Linked DNA regions of Caenorhabditis elegans. The protein of the gene in region 1 purifies or fractionates together with the protein of each later gene. This does not show direct contact. Each region holds a gene or a part of one and is shown in the gene's direction. Other genes may lie near its edges.

Region 1 (3,876 bases):
ATTGGATCTGCTCATTAAAATTTGTGATTTTTTTTTAATGCAAAAAAAAGTTATTCAACAAACAGATAAAATTGATTACAAAAATGTTTTCTGATGTAAGATTCTCCAAAAACTTAACATTTATTGACAAATAGTATTATTCTGTTTTCTACACTATTTTCTGAATAACTCAGCTCAAATTGTTTAATTGCCTTATTGACACCACCTGAACAGATTGCTCAATGGATTCATGCTGCATTTTGAGAACTTGAAAATACGTCCGTCGAGCCACAATGAATGCCAACATTTTTAGACAAATCAGGATGACACATACAGCTGAGATAATTGCACCGTATTTGATTGCTGTAGTGGGATATCAGGATCTTTTGAGCTTCAATTTGATGTTCTTACCTCTGGCTGTTTCAGGATGGGTTTCATTTGGATTCGCGTAGTTTGAGTCTTTTATGTTATGGGAAGTACGAATTCTGCTTGTTCTGAAAGTTCAATACTTATTAGTATTATATCTCTAATTGAAAGAGATACGAAGGGCCTCCCAAAGACTCTAACGACCACATTACTCCGCTAGCGACCGCATTTAGAGCCGAATAAAGCCAAATGAACAACCAAAACATTGTAACCAACTGAAATAGCTAGGAAATTAATAATAAACTATTGCAAAATATTATTACTTGATATGATAACATTGGATACGAAAAAATAGGTGATTGCTTCGATAGACACAAGTTGTATGTGATTATGGCAAATAACATAAAAAATAGAAATGCAAAGTTGAGGAATACAGGATCTGAAATTTGGAAAATGTTACAAGTATCTATAAAGCGGTGTCTTTTTTTAAAGAAATTATGTACTTTGAAATGAAGGTGTAAAAATTACTGATTGAATTTCAATGTGATATACTCAAAGTACAATCGGGTAAAATTAAATTGTACACTTATGTAATTAAAAAAACAATTTTATTCATGGAATAGACTGATATTTATGTTGTAGAGCTTCCCCAAAAATTACCTCAAATGTATTTTCCATTTGTTTCCGCCCCATAAAAGACAATTTAATTTCATTTTCATAAAATCACTATTTCTATTAGTATAAGCCTTAAAAGTTCAGACAATTTCTGAGGTTTTTCAATAATTGTGGGGATAAATCTACTGCTTAAATATCAGCCTACTTGAAGGGAAATGCTGCATGATAAAAATTAAAATTCATCTTGAACTGAAAACCACAACTTACACCATGATTGCGCATAAATAAGCGAGCAAATCGATAATACCAAAATTAATTTTCCAAGTATTGACTCAAAAACCAGCAATACTTTTGAGGCTATCTGAAATATTACTATTTGTGAAATACAATAAGAATATTTAAATGTCTTACTTTAAATTTCAAACCAAATATCTTCGGTGCGTGAGCATATGGACTAACATGGCGAGGCACTCTTTGAGTCATCACAAAAAGAAAGAAAAGAGCAATAATATGGTTGAGAGAGAGTGGAAAGCGAGTGATACTCTGCCTGTATGTGATAACACTTTTTATAGATGGCGAAGCAAATAGGCAAACATAAAAACTAAAAACGAACAGAGAATGGAGTTAGGTAATCGGATTGAAGTTCAAACGGAAAGTTTTTTGTTGCATTTCAATTGTTAGAAACCAGCTAAAAATTACATAATTTAGACACAAGATATTTTCACTGATTTTTTAATACTGTTAGTTTATATATTCAGCTTCTGTCTACATAACATCGGAGATTGTCGGTTTATTTAGAACCTCTCAACATCTTAAATTTGTTTTACTCTGAGTACTAAAAAGTATGTACAACCCATTCTACTATTCCGAATAGTTCCAACACAGACATATTTTCCGTTGCTTCCTACATTTTTCTCAGTTTTCTCCTTCATTACACACAACATGTCGCCCTTTTTTCCGTGGACTTTTTCGGCAACAATCGGTCCGTCCACACCGTGTCCGACATCCGTATCATTCTTTCGCCTCCTAATTTTCAATACTTTCTCTACTTCAGGCCTTGACCCATGTCGATCTTCCTGTTGGAGACACATCTGTGTGACCCACAAACCCAGTAATCTACTACTCATCGGTACGACCCTCCCCGCATTCTTATCTATCCCCATCGTCTATATTCCCGCTGCCCTCCAAAATCTCACTCACTTATTTCCAAATAGCTAGGATGCTCCTTGTTTCTGTTATTTCTTGTCTACTTATTAGTGTTTTAGCAAAGGATGCTGTTACACCTCGTGTCGGATCTCAGTGCACAAAAAATCAAGTCGTTCGTAAACTGACTGTATATGAAGACGGAGCACTTGAAGCTGAATGTGGACCAGTTCCTTGTGGAGAAGTTGGAAAACGATGCATTGACGTAAGTTTAGAAACAAAAATAGTAATTTGCATATTGAAAATTATAACGTTAGAAATACATTTATTTCCAATTTTAGGATCAAACTTCTTGCCGTGCTGAAACCGATGTTTTCTCCGGAATGAGATGGGCTCCAAACGGTGAGAGCATCTTGCTCCGCTGTTGCACAATGCATGCCAAAAACAAGATTTACGTAGGAACTGATGTTGTTGCTGCTGGAAGCTTCTACGAAGGAGGAGAAGTTGCTGAAAAGGATCTTTATGGAGATAAGGGTGGAGCTGAATACGACTTCGTTGCCAATGCCAGAACTGAACAGTGAGTTTTTAAAGTTCTCATCGTAATTATTAAAACTAATTTTTCAGAGGAGGAGTTCGTGTTTGGGTGTACCGTATGATCTGTGCCAAGGGAGAGAAACCGGTTGATTTTGATCCTATCACTACTACTTCTGCTCCAAGAGTCATTAAGACTACTCCAGCACCAACAACTACCCCAACTGTGGAGGAAGAAGCAGAGGAAGCTGAACAACTTGAAGAAGATCAGCCTAATGACAATGAAGCTGAAATTGTTGAGAGCAATGATGAAGAGGAAGTTGTTGAAGAGGAAACCGAGGAAGAAGAGGAAGTTACAGTGAGTTTATAAGAGCTTCCTTCTATCTGAAATATTGAAATCTTCTTGCAGACTACCCCAGCACCAAAACCATTCAACCCACTTCGTTACCGTCCACCACACTTCCCAAGACAATCGACTGGAATCCGTAGAGCTTAAACTCGTGTGCCCTCACTATTTTTTGTTACCTCTATTTTTTTTATTTCTTTCCTATCAAGTTTGATGATCTTTTCTTCCCTCATTCAAATCCACTCGCATTCATTCCAATGAGTCCATATCAAAACGAGTTTGTACATTTTAATAAGCTTTTCATTTTAATAATACCGTTAATAAAATATTTCTCTACAATGTTTCCTTGATCTATTATTTTTTGAATTGCTTTTCCATCAAGATTTCAAAGCTGACATAAAAATTTTGAAAACATTTATTATCCTTTGAGAGAAAAATTGAAAAGATCGACATGTCAAGGAGGTTTATTATAAATAATTATTAGTTATTAAAATTGAAGAGATGACTAGTACTTATGTGGCAATAGAACATCAATGATATTCAAGAAGAATTCAGAAGTGGCTGGAAGATGCCCAGTTTCTTCTAATGATCCAAGAACTGATCGCATCTTTTGTTGAACGGAAGTGGCGAAGTTGAGGAAAGTATGAGATAATGTGTTAGCCTTGACAACATTGTGACATGAAGCATACACGTCATCAACAATTAAATCTCCAGTTTCAGTCATTGGAGCGTACACTCCAGTCTCGTAAAATGTTGATTTTTCACTGATAGTTGTCATCACGAGTTCTGAAAAGATTCGTAGAATATATAACTTCAAAGTTGAAACGCTGAAGTTCCTGATATTGAAAAAACTCACTTTCATTTTCCTTCACCATCAGACAATCCCCAATGGTCAT
Region 2 (4,756 bases), 2.1 Mb from region 1:
TGCGAAATGTTCTTCATTTTTTAAAGATGCACAACTTAAATTGATTGAAGAATTAAAATGTTCAACTGAAAATATTGATCTTCGACAGTTTTCAATGAATTTATTTCTGAATAATTGTTGTAGGCAACACGGGACATAATTACAGAAAATGCCTATATCGTAAATATTTCAGAAAAAAATTTCAGAAAAACTGTAAAATTGCTAAATTTGGGATTTGCAATTTTATAGTTTTTCAGAAATTTCTAAAGATTTTCGCATATCAGAGTTTGGTGCAATAATGTTCTTAAAACTTTTACTTATTGAAAAACCAGTTTAATACAAAAAACGGACCATAGAAAACATCGTTAAATGCATAAGAGTATACCTGTAACTTTTTGGAATGGTAAAGATAATAATGAGTAACATAAATTTTTACAAATGTCGTCTAATAAATCTAAAACTTTTTGTTGCCGTAAATGTTTCAGTCTTCGTTGACTAGTAGATCAAGGTTTTTTTTACCCAGTTGGACTTTCTCTTGTTATATTCCGCACTTTTAAAAACTGGGCATCAATACAGGAAATGATGATGATAGTGTAACCGTTGATCTATTATCATTTGCTTGCCTCCTGACTGAAATTTCTTATTATTTCATTTTAATATGGGCGGCGGTCCTGGAACCATCATAGCATTTTCTATATATTTTTCATTTCAAAGATTAAAGGTTCCTTATATGTATTTTCCGGCGTTCTCTATGATCCCCCGATTTTCCGTTTTGAACTGGTTTTTTTCAAACTTTGCATGGCTTCAATTTCATTCTATAGCCACGCACAATTTGACCTCTTTCTCACTTCTGTTGCTATATTCTAAAAGTTACGATTTGTTGCCATGTTTGACATTGTAAGTTTTTTTTTCTCGATATGTTGAGAGATGAATTTGAAGCAATGTAGGTAAATATGAGTGAATAAGTTGAGGTTTAAATGAATCTAATTTTGAAGTTATGCAGTATTTCAAACAGCTTTACCAGAAATTAAATTATGTCAAGATTTGGAAAATTATTCAAATGACCACGTTTAGAAATTCCAGCTAATCGACGTAGTTTGTGAGGTCTTATAAGATACTTTTCCTTTACTTTTTTGGCTGAAAAAAATTCATACGGTTTCAGTTTTTCGCACATTACTTTTCCGTTTAACTCTGTTGCACTTTTGCCGTATTATTCTTTATGCAAATTTTACACTTAAGGATTTACGGTATTTAGTTTTTGGCGACAATTTTTATTGCCAACTTCTGTAAGTTAAAGAAATATTTCGAATTGTTTTTGAGAAACTAACTAATTTCTTAGACTACTATTAGCACACTATCTAAATGCATGATCTGCCATACTGGGACCATAACACTCCCCTCTCCCACCCCACTTTATGTGGACTACACAACCGTCGTGTAGCCTACATCTGGGCATTCAGTTCATCTCATCATTTTAGCAAATTTTTGTTCTCATGGGGTTCTTTGTTAGTTTTCTTCATAAATTTGAAATAATAGACTAGAAAATATCTTTTACAGATAGTTTTTTAGAAGCACTATATTAGAAAACGAATTGTGAATCTAAAAACTTTTTGATGTCTTATGGCATTGGCAGTTTTTTAACCTTTTAACTTAATTTTATGTCTGCACAAAAAAGGTTTTTTCAGAAAACTGTCAATTGGAAAAAACATGCATGGCACCTTTCTCTCAATGTTAATAGTTGAGCTTAATAATGTTTTTTGAAAAACTTGGTGCTTTGTTGGAAGTTAAACGCATGATAAAAATTTAATATACTTCTAAACCAAAATTTAACAAAATTTGATATGTAACCTTGAAATGATATTTGGAGAAAGCAATGATACTACACTATACTTTTCCAACCCAATAAGACCAAAGTAAATTTCCACTAAACATTTTATTTACTCGAATAGTATTCTGTCTACTTTACTCTTTTGTGTATGTTACAATCTTTGTATCCTCTTCTTTGACCTCTTCAAGATAACATCTGAACCTCTTTTCTATTTATTCCAGATGGCGCCGACTCCACCTCCACCTCTCTCCTCAACCCTCATTCCGGAGGAGTCTTCTACATCCTTCTTTGCCTCTCTACACTCTCTTCTTCCAACGTTCCACGTAGAAAACGGTGCTCAATTAGCTGTTACAATGCTTCTTCTAATTCCAGTCGTTTATGTGGGATATCGGTTATACAGGTATTTATGTAGTGAAATTGAATAGTCAATTGGAAAATGGGTACTGTAAGATTACTGTAGTGAAAACTTACCTATATGCAAAATGATTTTATCTATGACTTAAGAATACTGTACCAGGTCTTGACGCGACTCTAAACTTCTCATGAAAGCCGCGAAAAAGAGGATGCGGAAAATTTCAAGTCACAGATTTCATTAGAACATTTTTGTGAACCGTTGTCTTGTGATATAAAACTCATAGGTGTGAAAACAAGTTGCGTTCAGGTTACTGTAGAGGTATGGTAGAGATATAAACTTGATTTTTTCAGAACATTCTTTGCATTCCTGAAAGCAATCTTCATCTACACAATTGCACCTCTCTTCTACAAACCAAATCTGGAACAGTACCAACACAGATGGACAGTCGTCTCCGGTGGAACCGATGGAATTGGAAAAGCTTACACATTGGAACTTGCAAAGCGAGGTCTCCGGAAGTTTGTACTTATTGGAAGAAATCCAAAGAAACTTGATTCGGTTAAATCAGAAATTGGTAAGTTGTTTTATTATTATTTAGTATTGTTAATTTATTTAATTTTCAGAGGAGAAGCACTCGGACGCTCAAATCAAGACTTTTGTGTTTGACTTTGGTAGTGGCGACTTCTCAAGCCTTCGCGATTACATCAGCGACATCGATGTTGGATTTGTCGGTAAGAAGTTGGGTGAAAAGGGGAATAATATGAGGGAATGTAGGGCAGATTTGGCTAGTTGATTACTTAAAACTTCTTGGAAAATTCCTGAATAATGAACATATGGATTGAGACTTTTCAGTTGGTAATATGAAAAATGTCTCAAACTTTAGAAAGAAATATAAATAAGAATGTTTACTTTGTCCCAATTAGATTAAAGAACTTGACCTGCCATTTGTGGTTTTGCGAATTCAATTATCACAAGTTGACCATTAGGAAAAACTCAAGTAAAACCGGTTACTGTAATTGTAATTTGACAGATGGAGATTCTGTAAACATTCTGTTTCATATGACTAACTTTTGACGGGAAAATCCCAAGAAACATTGAATATATTTATTCAAAGCTGCCATTCAGTGAACAGCGTTGGAACTGGTCGCGACAATTTGGAAAGATATGGAGACAATCCAGATGAGGACACTCAAATATTGAGAGTAAATGGAATGGGTGCAGCCGAGTTCCTATCATGTGTGCTCCCACCAATGGAGAAATCTGGAGGTGGACAGATTGTTGTGCTCTCGTCTTCACAAGGAGTACGGCCAATACCCATGCTTGCGGCTTATTGTGCAACAAAGGCTTTGATGACGTTCTTGTGCGAATCGATTGATCGCGAGTACAGTACAATCAATGTTCAAACTTTGATCCCTGCATTGGTCGCCACAAAAATGACCTACTACACGGTAAGCAGTTATTTGCGAAGTTCTTAGAAAATTAATTTACAATCTTATTTCCAGAAAGGATCTACATTCGTTGTGACACCAGAAAACTTCTGCCACCAGGCGGTTGGCTCAATTGGATTGACGAAGAAGACTGCTGGATGTTTGAACCATGAGCTTCAAATGCTCGGATTCCACCTGTTCCCATGGACTATTCTCAAGTACCTTATCATGCCAATCTACTATCATCAGAGAAAACGTGTGACAGAATTGCACAATACGAGCAATAACCCAGAACAGGAAATTTCACTTCAAGAATTGAATGAGGAAACGGTGGTGCCTACAACAAAGAAAACTGTCACTCGTGACTCGGCCACTGCCTAATACTGAAAAGAATAGTTGTTTTTAATTTTCATTTTCCCTCTGAAATTGTGCTTTACATACAAATTTTAATTTCTAATAACATGTTCTTGTATCTATTTTTGTGAAATTTTATTTCGTTTCTTGTTTTTTTTTCTGGTTTTTGTCAACTCCCCCTGCAGTGAAATTTATCGAAACAATAAATATTTTCATGAGATTAAATTGTCTTTCTGAAACACAATAATTAAAAGCTTTTTGAAAAAAGACAGTTAGAAAATATTGAAATTGTATTTTGAATTGGCGCGTGCAGTACGGTAGCTGATGTTGACCTGCACATCTAACTTCGCTTTGATTTAATTTTAATTATTAACCTTTTCTTTCCACCTTTATTTTCAAGAAATAAGTGTTCTAAAAATTGCTTTGAACAAATAATTTAGTTTTAATGGTTAGAATTTCGAAAATCTTAAATTGTTGTTCATTTAAATGTATTTTTTAAAAATTATCCCAATTTGAGCATTTTTTAATAAATATTCATTTTTTTAGGTTCTTGGAATCAAAGCGAACGGGTTATGATGTCGCCGCCTCTACGGTATCAAAAAGACCAACAAAATCAGCAACATCAGCAAAATCAATCACAGCAAGCTGCTCATCAGATGGTCTCTTTCATGCCACAAACACCGACTTCTCTTCCATCAACTCCGATACAACTTTATCCAACCGGAGCAGCCGCACTAATACCAGCACCACCTACATACGAGCTGATTCCAAACCGTATTTTCGTTGGTGGCTTCCCAACTTCGGTTCGTGAATTTC
Region 3 (3,922 bases), on another chromosome or scaffold:
GAGGTGACAAAAGTGTCATTCAATACCCGGAATGCGTTTCTTTCTTCGCGCATATAGGCAAAGTATGGGAACAATGGTTCATACCTGAGATCTTTGAGCTGACTACCAGCAAGTTTCTCAATAACTTCCAAATTATCATTTTTCAACTCTCCGAGACGTTCTTCCAGAACAACGTATTCGATTCCAGTCGTTTTATCTTTAGTGACCACATACAGCATGTCTGGATGAACAACTAGAGCTAGATTGGATGGAAGTGTCCATGGAGTTGTTGTCCATGCAACTAGCTGCCTATTCGGACAATCGAGTAATTTGAATCCGACGAATACTGCTGGATCTACTACATCTTTGTAATTCTGACCAGCTTCAAAGTTGGAGAGTGGAGTAGAACAAGCAGTAGAGAAAGGCATAACTTTTACACCTTTGTAGACAAGGCCCTTCTTATGCAACTCGCTGAAAGCCCACCATACAGACTCCATGAACCACGGGTAGAGAGTCTTGTAATCATGCTTGAAGTCTACCCAGCGACCAAGACGTCCCATTGTTTTCTCCCATTCGCCAGAATATCTCATAACGATCTTTCGGCATTCATTGTTGTAATTAGCGATTCCCATTTTCATGACATCTTGTGGACCACTGATTCCAAGCGTCTTATCGATTTCGTATTCGACTGGAAGACCATGAGTATCCCAACCAAACCGTCTTTCTACATAGTGACCGTTTTGATGAGCCCAGCGACCAACAACGTCTTTGATGGTGCTGGTAAGCATATGACCATAATGAGGAAGGCCAGTAGCGAAAGGTGGTCCATCATAAAAAGTGAAATGTGGACGATCTTTTGACAGCCTGAAGATAACGTTTTTTTTTTCAATGTGAACAATTCCAGAATATTTAAAAAAAAACTAACTCAACAGAACGTTGGAAAGTATTCTCATCTTGCCATTTTTGAGCGACTTTATCTTCTTCTCTGGCAAAATTGATGTTGTCGGGAACGGTCGAAAGGCCGCTCATTTTTTACCCTGTAAATTTTAAATATGCGAAAGTTAGACACTAGGCGACTAACATAAATAACAACGCAATCACATGAAATCTGATGCAACATTCTTTATTGCGTATTGCGAAATTTTGATGGAAGTAGTAATTTTTTAAATATTCGTCATACTAAAATATGATATATTTATTTGAATAATTGGTGGTGTTAACGGAAACGTTATCAAGGACAATTTAAGGCATAGTTTCGTATCTAGAAGGCACATCTTCGAGTAATTTTACCAAGTTTTCATCTAGTTAGTAAGAAAACATTAAATTGACACCATCAGTAGCGTGAGATAAACTATTCCAGTGTAGAAAGAGATGTATACAAATGAAATACTACCAAAAACATGGGAACCTCTTCTAAAGCAGTCAGATAAGTACTTGAGTTAAATGAAATGTTATTTAGTTGTTATTTTCAACAAACTTAAATGACAAAAAACATCGGAATTGCATGAAAAACCGATCAAAATAAGAAGAAAACTGGAAAATGGGAACTCCAAATAAAACAATTTTTTAAAGGCGCATGCATTTATTCAGCAGGGTCTCGCCACGATTTCCCGTCTTTTTAATTCGCCGAAAATTTTTTTTTATGAATTACAGTCCGTTTTCAGACAAATAAAGTGAAAGTTAATATGAAGCTGATTTAAATTTGATATTCCCCGTAGTGGAAAACGGTTTCTCGCGAGAAAAAGCGCATTTCTTGCGTTTTTTCAGTGAAATTTGTATGAATGTAACCGATCCGTTGTGTTTTTCCGCCCGTTTTCTTTTAATGAACTGAAAATTCATTTTTTAGTTTTCAGATGCGTTTTTTTGGTGTACGGACAGTCCAGATTGCTTCTTTGGCTGGATTCTCGTGGGGAGGATCAAAGCTGGACGATATCCAAACAGCAAAACTCAGAACATGCCCAATTCAAGTTCAGCAACCCGAGAAAGTGCAGAATGATGTCCTCCTCAGTCGAAAAGTTATTAATCACCTGGATAAGTCAAACTTGAAGCTCCGATTGTATCAATACGAGACTTGCCCGTTCTGTTGCAAGGTGCGTTACTCTTGTGTGAAGTATGAAAACTATTAATCAAAAATACAGGTTCGAGCCTTCTTAGATTATCACGGATTCTCCTATGAGGTTGTAGAAGTAAATCCAGTCACTAGATCACAGATCAAGTTTAGCACAACTTATAAAAAAGTAAGTTTTCATTCACATTTCCGGTTGTTTTATCTATTTTCTTTCAGGTTCCAATTCTCAGGAGTGGCGAGACAACTATGACCGAGTCTACTTTGATTATTTCCACATTGGCAACATATCTTCAAAGACCCGATCAGTCACTCGACCAGATAATACAAATGTATCCAGCAGTTGATTCAACAAACGAGAAAGGAAAGCCAGTGGGTTTTTGAATTACTCTGCAATTTTAAAACATCCTTGCTGATTCAGGTTCTCAACTACCCTAACAAATTCTTCGTTATGAAGGGAAAAGTAGACGGGGACGCAAATATGGCTTCTGCCAGAGAAGAGCGGGAATGGAGAGAATGGGTGGACAATTGGTTCATCCATCTTATTTCTCCTAATGTATATCGTAATTGGAATGAGTCTGTCGAGACATTCCGTTGGTTCGAACAAGTTGGCGACTGGCATCGTACTTTTCCAGCCTGGGAGAGAGTTCTAGCGGTATACGTGGGTGCAGCAGCAATGTTTTTACTTTCAAAAACATTGAAGAAAAAGTAAGTTAGTTAGAAGTTTATATCATGATTTCTGATATTAAAGGCACAACATCAATGATGAACGAGAAGAATTGAGAAAGGCTTGTCGTGACTGGATGGCAGCAATTGGACCAAATAGACAGTTTTTAGGAGGAGATGAACCGAATCTAGCTGATCTGGTTGGTTTGATTTTTTGGAGAAGGATTTACAATCTGATATATTTTCAGTCATTATATGGAGCTATGAATTCTTTCTATGGATGCTCAGCGTTCAAAGAAGTTATTTTAGAAGAAAAAATTGCTGAATGGTGGCGAAAAATGGATGCACTTGTCAAAAACCACGATGGAAGAAAAGCATTGGAATCAAGAAGTCAAAAATAAAAGATTGAAATTGTTAATATAGACTAGTCCTTGATTTAGTGCCTTATTGTTTGCTGTGTTTTTGTTATCTTTCTCATCCTATTTGTCTTATTGAATCAATTCAATGTTTTACCAGCTAGGATCTCATTTTAGTTAAAATTCTACATTTTTCCCTCATAATAAACCATGTTTTACTCTGCATTCATGAAGACGGCAGTTTGCGCCATGCAGCGTTTGTTGACGCGCATTTGGTATCTCCCGTTGACGCAGTTGGTTCACTTTTGAATTGATTTTCGTATTCAGTTCTGGTCTACTTTTAATAAAATTAATCATATCGATAAACGATGTCACGTGATAGTGGCAACGATTCAGAAGTTGCGGTCACACACGGGGAAGTGGTGAGTTAATTTATTAGATTTTTTTAAAATTTCCTTACTAACAACCTAACGTAAAATGTTTCAGCAAGAAATAACGGAGGAAAATCCAGAAATCGGTTCTATGCACATTACACAAGAAACAGATATTTCCGATGCACCCGAAACAAACACAGATTCGAGTAGACAAAGAACAGAAAGTACAACCAGTGTCAGTTCAGAGTCTTGGCAAAATAATGTGAGTTTTCGCCAAAAAATGAAGATAAATTCCCAAGGAGATTAAAATGTTTCTAAATTAATATTTTTCAGGACGAAATGATGTCGAATCTTCGTCGTGCTCAAAGACTTCTTGATGATGGTGCCACTCCATTACAAATTATTCAACAAATTTTTCCTGATTTTAATGCATCACGAATTGCAACAATGTCAGAGAACGCGGTACTTAAAAAAAAAATTAA

What was found.
Region 2: the proteins of wrt-10 (region 1) and dhs-5 fractionate together in Caenorhabditis elegans (co-fractionation; one large-scale study listed by BioGRID). This does not show direct contact.
Region 3: the proteins of wrt-10 (region 1) and pges-2 fractionate together in Caenorhabditis elegans (co-fractionation; one large-scale study listed by BioGRID). This does not show direct contact.

What each region holds. Positions count from the first base shown.
Region 1 is NC_003280.10:7,532,750-7,536,625, reverse strand, and holds wrt-10 (WaRThog (hedgehog-like family)), read left to right. Parts: upstream 1-2,062; 5' UTR 2,063-2,179; coding exon 2,180-2,368; intron 2,369-2,444; coding exon 2,445-2,680; intron 2,681-2,727; coding exon 2,728-2,992; intron 2,993-3,043; coding exon 3,044-3,130; 3' UTR 3,131-3,364; downstream 3,365-3,876. Other genes in the region: ZK1290.13 (MARVEL domain-containing protein), read right to left, coding at 206-342, 391-473, 523-620, 669-784, 1,228-1,321, 1,372-1,443; wrt-1 (Warthog protein 1 N-product), read right to left, coding at 3,486-3,766, 3,837-3,876.
Region 2 is NC_003280.10:5,451,819-5,456,574, forward strand, and holds dhs-5 (putative oxidoreductase dhs-5), read left to right. Parts: upstream 1-2,028; coding exon 2,029-2,207; intron 2,208-2,512; coding exon 2,513-2,733; intron 2,734-2,782; coding exon 2,783-2,890; intron 2,891-3,284; coding exon 3,285-3,607; intron 3,608-3,661; coding exon 3,662-3,967; 3' UTR 3,968-4,159; downstream 4,160-4,756. Other genes in the region: daz-1 (DAZ protein 1), read left to right, coding at 4,516-4,743.
Region 3 is NC_003282.8:10,365,701-10,369,622, reverse strand, and holds pges-2 (Prostaglandin E synthase 2), read left to right. Parts: upstream 1-1,832; coding exon 1,833-2,069; intron 2,070-2,117; coding exon 2,118-2,216; intron 2,217-2,263; coding exon 2,264-2,416; intron 2,417-2,465; coding exon 2,466-2,752; intron 2,753-2,795; coding exon 2,796-2,910; intron 2,911-2,958; coding exon 2,959-3,111; 3' UTR 3,112-3,290; downstream 3,291-3,922. Other genes in the region: iars-1 (Isoleucine--tRNA ligase, cytoplasmic), read right to left, coding at 1-843, 905-1,008; NAD-dependent protein deacetylase sir-2.1, read left to right, coding at 3,435-3,488, 3,553-3,702, 3,774-3,902.